Linked DNA regions of Coturnix japonica. The protein of the gene in region 2 interacts with the protein of the main gene of each other region in a pairwise test. Links are inferred from orthologs where the notes say so. Each region holds a gene or a part of one and is shown on either strand. Other genes may lie near its edges. The genes, in order: PTPN21 and BMX.

Region 1 (3,824 bases), on a different chromosome or scaffold from region 2:
GAGAAATATCACCAGGAGATTCTAATGTAAGGATAAATTCAGATTATCCTTTTAGAAAATGTGAGAAAACTATCATTCCTTCAATTGCTCAGTTTAGCTATTAAAAAAACCAAAACCACTGAAAATATGGGCAAATATTCTGCTTGAATGGTGGTCAATGTTTCCAAAAGCTAAATGCCAGTAAAGAATAAGGTGACAAAGTTAAGAGCTTGAGACTGTTTTTAAAAGTGAGCATAAACACAGCAGTAGAAGCTCACTGGAAAGTTGAAAAGCAAAATGGAAAAGGAGTTGCAGGGGCAGCTTTTGCTACAAGGTAGTTCATCTTAATGATGAATACAAAACCACAATTCTCTACTCTGCAACAGTATTCTTAAATATTACTAACCTAGAAAGTATTTCACTGTTAGTGCTCAGTAAGAAGGTTTTAATATCAACTTCATTTCAAATGTTGATTTAAATACTTTCTCAGCTATCACAAAGAAAAGGCAATGTGTGATTTTGGTAGACTCATCAGTGTCTGAAAACATCTTATGAAGAAAAAGAACACAAACTGAGTATATCTAAATGTGAATATAAGGAGAAAGCTATCATCTTTTTTTTTTTAATATCCATGTAACACAGAAGGCAGGAGATTTAGGAAAATAATTTTTAAGTAAATTAAAACTGATTAACTGTGATCAGTTCCACATATAAGTAAGAAGTCTCACATATAGAAAAGTTGAGCACACAGCAATAATTTAAATACACAGTTTACTTCAGGTTAGCTTTTGTAACATCAGCTCTAACAGATACTACACAGCAGCAGAAGCTGTATAGTAGTTCCACTGCAGACTAGTTTGTGCAGAAAATGATTTGACACAAACTCAGGCAGGCAAAGTTAGCAAGAACCAACGGTGGGGAAAAAAAAAAAAAAAAAGCAAACAAATTATAAAAGCATATTTCTCCATTAGCATGTGAAATATGCCAGGAGCTATATAAAAACAAACAAACATACTGAGTGGTAAAGAGTGCAAGTGAAATCATAGAGTCCCAAGTAGAACTTGATGTTTCTATGAAGAGGGGATGGCAGGAAGTGGGAAAACTGCAGTTGTTCAATTGATTTCTTTTCACGGCTTTGTAAGACTGGAGTAGGAGAAAGGGGCATGGCAAGAAGGAAATAACTTCAGTGAGATAAAAAACAACTTGAAGGCAAGGGAAAAGGGGAAGGATATGAAAAGAGGGAGGTACGGAGGAAAGAAGAGTTCACAAGCAAAGAATTTATTGCCTAATGTGTCAGATTATCCTCCTAGGTCAGACTAAGAAGACAAAGGAATTTTAAAAAGTTAAATATTCAGCTACATCTGATTTTTCAGTGAGTTCTAATATTAGAAAGCTGGCAGTGGAACAGACACAGTTGGTTCTGATACAGGTAAGGATAGGGAGGCTAGAATTTGGGATCTAGAACTAAAAACTAGTTGCTAACAAGGTTAGTTATGTCAGATGGATGGAGGCTACAAAGTTGGATTTGTGTGGGAGGACTACACAGACAAAACTCACACACTGCAGAGAATATAAGCAAGCAAAGTTGATGAGAGAAAAATAGAAGAATAAAGATAAAGCTTAAAGTAACTTTCAATTCTTATATTTTAAAAATATAGGTTGATTTAAAAACAAACAAACAAAAACACTTAGAAACCCCACACAGAACATCCTGAAACAACATAAAACAAGAAATAATATCCACTTACACCTAGTGGGGGAAGGCCTTCCACAATATTCTTCTTCCCAGACAAAAGATCGGACACAGGTCTCTTCTTTATTGAAGAAGAATCCTTCCTTAGTCTGTATCTCCCTGATGTTGTAAGGTCAGATTCTGACATAGATGGAGTAAGCAGTCCTTCCCCTCTCCTCTGTATGTGGTTTTCCACTAGTAAATGAACTGGGCTTATATCTTTCATTCTCTTTTCCGTTTCTGTAATATGTAATTTAGGCTCAAGAATATGCAAAGGACCAGCAGATGAAGCAACTGAGCTATAGGGGTAGTTGAGTACAGAATCATGAGAATAGCCACCCATCATGGATGAAAGCTGGGTTTGATCTTCAGGAAGAGGAGAGAGGCTAGTACTAGCTTTATTTTCTTCAAAATCCTCTTCTTCTTCTTCACTACTGTGAATCAGCATAGTGGCATCTGAAAGGGTTTTCTTATGATCACAGTTCACACCTTCATCTTGCTCATTTTCTTTTTGCTTTGTTCTCTCTATCAGAATGTTGGGCTGTGACCCTTCTGAAATAACTCTTGGAAGAGCCACATCTGCTGCAGATGCTGACATGGTCCTCTCTTTTATTCTTATTCCTTCAAAGCTGGGAGCCAAGCCTGCTATTTCAATGCTGTTCCTTTTCTGCAGCTGAGCATGGCGTGCCGATGTTAGAGGTTCACTGACTTCCTGTAGAGAATGTGCCACAGGCAGGCTGTCTTCCTGAAATGTCTGGACAGAATGATGAACTCGCCTCGTGATTAGATCTGGGTTGCTGCTGCTAATGTAGATGTGTCGAGAAAGGTCTGGAGTACTATTTGCAGGTCTTGGATATGGATATGGGGGAGGTGGTCGATAGACTTGGGTCTTCATTATATTTGGTGCTGGATAATCCTGAGCCTGGAGCTGCACATTTGTTAACTCAGGCACACTGACAGCCCCAACAACTGGGCGTTTCTCAGCAGGATAGGGATAGGGGGATGGGCTATGAAAACTGTAGTTCAGGTTAAATGGATAATGGTTAGATTGTGGGGAAGTGAAGTGGGCATGTTCTCGTATTTCAGGTTGGCTGTAAACCAAGGCATCGGGCCTGCTGTAAGCATATGTATTGCTGATGTTAAGATTTCTCATTGAGTGACTCTGCCTATCTGTGTGTACCATTCCTCTATTGAGTTGTCTCATCACAGTTTCATAGTCTGGTGTGGGCCGATAAGATGGTGGAATTAGTGCACTATGTCTATGTGACGGGACATAATCAGTTCTGAGGACATCACTTCCAGTAATGCTTGGGTTAGATGACATGGGGGATGGCTGCAAGTAATGTTGTGGGTTGTTCAAGGAGTTTGTGCTATGTGCACTATAGACACTACCATTGCGGATTCGACCACTGTAGTCATGAGGGGCTCTATCCAAGCTAGTCTGAGAGTGGTAGTAGTATCCATTCTGACTGCTCACAAAGAGGTTATCTGAAAGTAAAGTTTAAGAACAAGTCTTATGTTCAAGACCTTGAACAACAAAGATGTTTTCTTTTAAGATGTTGCTAACTGATGTTTCAGACTTAAAATCTCAGTCAAAATTCACTACATTTTCAATTGGGAAGAGAAAAACCACAGCTTTTTTGATGTTGTAGATACCTAAGGTATATTTACCAGAATAGATCATGCAAATTTCTACTGGAAAGCATTACCTCTGTTTAATAAGGGCTTTCTTCAGTTTATGATAGCTTTGTTAAGTTTAAATTTAGTAAAACCCATCTAAAATTTTAAACAGTTCTAACTGAAAGAACAAACATCTATACCAAGGTCTGCAATACCCTAATGAGATCCGTTTAAATAGCAAGAAAAAACACCCTCTCTTCATAGTACTCTCATCACAAGCACTTTAAAAAAATAAAAATAAAAATCAAGTTAACTTTCACCCAGAAAATTTGGATTCAGTCTGAACAAGAACCATATACAGTTTGTACATTAATATGTACACCACTGATGGGTAAAGAAAATTTTCTAACAGTTTATGGACAATATACATTTAGTACTCTAACAATTACTTCACTAGCTGTACAATTTGCCCAGCTGCAGGAGAAAACAACTA
Region 2 (4,318 bases):
TCTAAAATTCCATCTAACTCACCTATTTTTTTCTGGCCTAAAATATCTTCGTGAGCTCCATGAACTGCAGTGGGTTGGAGCTCAAGATTAGATGCTTTCCCAGTATAAGGAAATGAGATGGCATGAAGTTAAGAAAAGTAGTTCTTACTGTAGAAATGACAAGGTTTTTATGCCTTCTAACCAACCTAATATTTTCATTGCAAAGACAGCTTCCCTAAGCTACTCTGTCTGAACTAGTATGAAGCTTGTCACTAGTGACTTCTACAGTCAGAGCAAATACCTCCCCTGAACACAGCAAAAATACCTAAAGTGAGGGGGAAAATTCATTCTCTTCTCCAATGCAATTTTAATCTACCCCAGCCTTGTCACTCCTTCTGATGTCACATGTCAAATTGATCTTATTCTGACCCACCAGGAGGACTAATATGCATTGCCTATCCAAAAGGGAATTGATAGTAGGTGTTTGTAGGCATTCTGTCCACCCGCACAGAAGGCAGCCAGAGGTGTGAAGGCATGTCTCATAAAGCTCCACTTTTCCTCTTCAGACTGTTCCTAGTAGATAATTGCTGATTTCTGGGCTCAGTTAGGTTTCAGTGGATACATCATGTGGGTATGATAAGCATCATGCAAATATTCTCTTTCTGCTGTGTTCTCTGTGGTGAACAAGGGTGCACATAAAGTGCACAGCCTAGTAGAACACTTTTCTTTGGAGCTCCAGAGCACACTTGGCAAAGGATATTTGGTCTTTATACTTCGGTAAGATAACCTGAAACCATACTAAGTTTATAGAAAGGTTGCATCCTTCCTGGTATTTGCTACTTTATGATAATCAAGGTTAAGAAAAACACATTTATGCATGTACTTACATGTGGTGCAAGAAGATTTTTACTTACTGATCTTTTCTACCTTTCACCATTCCATAAATGTGCATTTGTTACAGTTGAAAGAAAGAAATGGAAAATTTCCAGCTCAGGGAACAAACTTGTCAGCACTAGGTCTGTTTTTCTAGTCTGTACATAGAAGGGCTTTCTTTGTTGTTGTTGTTCTCTTTGCTGCTGTAATGACTTCCATAATATGCTGCAGATGTAATACATTTGTGCATAGACTGTGCTCTTTGCCAGATAGTGTGCATGGCTTTAGAAGAAGAGATGCTCAGACAGTGAAGTAACAGAAGTGCCTTATTTAGAAATACAGTATATATTTATCTTCATTTTCCTATAATGCGATTCTTTCCCCTGAAGAATAAGTTAATCAAACTCATTTGTTTATGCAGTGTTAAATACATGCATTGTAACCATGTATTACTATAGATTTCAAAACACATATAGAAGACAATGACTCAATATATTCTTTATTACTTCTTCTACAGTTGGTGCTGTCATATTTATCAATAGTGATAATAAAAATTCCTACAATGTTCTTTTAGGGAAATAAAATGGAGAAAAAGATCATTCTAGAAGAAGTTCTTTTAAAGAAGTCACAACAGAAGAGAAAAATGTCACCAGCTAATTACAAGAAAAGGTTGTTTGTTCTGACAAAAAACAGCCTTTCTTATTACGAATACAGCAAAGAGGTAAAAACTCATTTTCTTAAGTAAACTATTCAAAGATATTCCAACCATCACCTGATTCTTCTAGTGCAAAACTTGATTAGAAGCGATGCATTAGAAAAGCAGGTGTACTCTGTTTTGAGTAAAACTGGAAAATTAGAGGGTTACAAATTCTTTTTTCAGTTCAAGAAATCACTTGGCTGCATGCTTAAGAGCGTCTCTATTCAGAACAACTTAGAGCTATGTTTGCCATTGAGCATCTGTTTGCATCCTTTGCAAGACAACAAAACTTAAGCAAGTAATTAACTGTGGCATATGTTTACATATTGTCTTGAATAGGGATGAATAGGGATGTTTTCCTCATTCAGGCCTCCCTCTGAAGTGATGTAAATAAGTGGCTTCAGAAATTACTTGTGTGAGGCATAATTAGTTCCCAATCTTATCCCTCATTCGTATAAAGCAGATGGTTAAGCTATCGATTTCTAGAGACTGACTGTGCATCACATGAGGGTAGATTTCACTCAGAAAGTCTCCTGTTGGGAATGCAAATATATTACCCTGGCAACTTATTTCAAAGTTTTCTCTCTTTTTGTGTCCCTCTGGTGAGTTATGTTTCATTAGGATCCTGCATGGAAACCCACTGAGAATATGCTCCTGCACCTTAGCAAAAAATACAGATGCCACAGCTAGGCTTCTGGTTTGCAGTTCAAGTGTCTTCCACTTAATTCCTCCTTCTTCTTTCTCCTTTCAATTCCCTTCTTCAGCTGTACTCTTACAACTGCAGCAGATGTTTTCTCAGATGTAGGGCTGTGTCCTGTAATTTGTAATTGACTTTAAAAGCAATTTTGATTGGTATATAAATGTGGTTGGGGCACCAAAATTGTTTTTTGTTACTATTAAAATTTAACAACCTTGAAGCTATGGAAGCTGGAGACATGAAATTACACAGAACAGTAAATCTAGAATGCTCCATACTGAGTTAACATTAGGTTACAATCTGCTTTATTTTCTCTTAGAAAAGAGGAAGGAAGAAGGGGTCTATCGAGATTGAGAAAATCCGATGTGTTGAGATGGTGAATGTTGAGGAATCAACACCTCCTGCAAGACAATATCCTTTTCAGGTTTGTCATGAAATTTGTTTCATGTTCGTTTCATGTGAAATGTTCAAATCATCCTAGGATTTCACTGATCACTCCTGCCCCAGTTGCCAATACCTGCTATGGCTGGTTGCCATACATACTCCCTAAAAATAGAAAATCTGTCCTTATTACTCAGGTCGTGACCTTGTTAAAATGTTTTTACTTGGTTGGGATAAAATTTGGGTCTAGAATTTTTTCTCTTTTGTTCAAATTTCTATCATATTTGATTTAATACATAGATCAATACACTTATGTGGTTATGAAATTTTTAAGGCATAATTAGGGACTTAAAAAATCTCATTTTAACTCTCACTATTGCCTCTCCCATCTTTTTGCCCAGTGTCAAGTTGAGGTTTTGACCCAAGACTGCCTGATTACTATTCTTAGGCCTCAGTCTGTAAATTCAAAGCTATGCTTTGTGCATGTACCAGAAAATATAGCTGCACAAAGCACTGTTCAGGAATTAAATAAGGAAACCGTAACTTCAGATTTGTTGCTTTTTATCTCTTTCCCCAGCATGTTCTCCCCAGAGCCTTCATCTGTATCAGTTTTCTGAGCACAGACAGGCCGTAGTTCCCCTTGGAGTACCACCTGGAGCAGCACAGCCACCAGCAGCAGGCTGCTTGATAGTGTGTTAATCAATGACTCTGCAAAAATTGCCATGGCCAAAGGCATCCTCTTGAGAAATGCTCAGGTTTTCACTTCCTACTTGCTCCTAACCGTCATTCCTTTCTTCCTTTCCCTTCTGTCTCACCACTTTTATGGCAGGGAATGGTGCACTTGTCTTGAATTATTGTGTTTATCTCAGGAATTCACAACTCAGAGAAGTGGGAAGAATACACACTGCAGTCACAGGATGGGGTCTCCATTGTGGGAAACTGGATCTCTGAAAAGGGGGTTAGGATTCTGATAGCTGATTTTCACCAGTTCCAGTGTGATGCTGTGGGCAAAGGAGCTAATGGCATCTTTAGACATTGACAGAGGCACACATTGAATAAAAGCAAGCAGGCTGTACTGCCTCTGTTTTGACAGTACTGTGAACTGCAGGAGAATACTGAGTCTAGTTCTGGTGGCTCTAATTTAAGAAAGATGTTGCAAACTGATGGGAGGTCAGAGGGGAGGCTTCAAAGTGTCTAGTGGATTGGATAACATGCCTTAAAGAGAAAAGCTCACAGAGCTCCACCATTTAACTAAAGAGCCAGAAAATGGATTGATCAGCCTGGTATGTTTACGAGACAGAGTACACATTTAATGACAAGTGCTCTTCAGTGTACAAACAAAGCAATAAAGCAATACTTGAAATGCATTGCAGATGACTGAAAAGCAATGTACACAAGGGAAAGGAAGCCCTGGACTTAACACACACACTCACACACACACAACCTATACTAAGTATCACCCAAACAGCAAAGCAGATGCTATTAATTATTAGGTAGGAATGAAATGAAGCTGGCAGAAAGTATGTTGAACACAAGAAAAATAAGCTGATTGTTCATATTGTATAGCTAATTTATTGGGTTACTTGCTGTGGGAAGTTGTAGATACTAGTTACTTGCTTTCAAAGACAGCTGAACTAACATATCCAAGGCAACAGAGTATGAATGCATCACCTTTAGATCAGAATTCCCTG

Evidence for each region.
Region 1: the proteins of BMX (region 2) and PTPN21 interact in binary tests that used the Homo sapiens proteins (3 or more experiments, as listed by UniProt). The link is inferred for Coturnix japonica from reciprocal best matches to the Homo sapiens genes BMX and PTPN21.

The regions. Positions count from the first base shown.
Region 1 is NC_029520.1:39,110,192-39,114,015, forward strand, and holds part of PTPN21 (tyrosine-protein phosphatase non-receptor type 21), read right to left. Parts: intron 3,200-3,824; coding exon 1,728-3,199; intron 1-1,727.
Region 2 is NC_029516.1:109,895,500-109,899,817, reverse strand, and holds the start of BMX (cytoplasmic tyrosine-protein kinase BMX), read left to right. Parts: upstream 1-1,435; coding exon 1,436-1,573; intron 1,574-2,565; coding exon 2,566-2,670; intron 2,671-4,318. UniProt on the Homo sapiens protein: Non-receptor tyrosine kinase that plays central but diverse modulatory roles in various signaling processes involved in the regulation of actin reorganization, cell migration, cell proliferation and survival, cell adhesion, and apoptosis.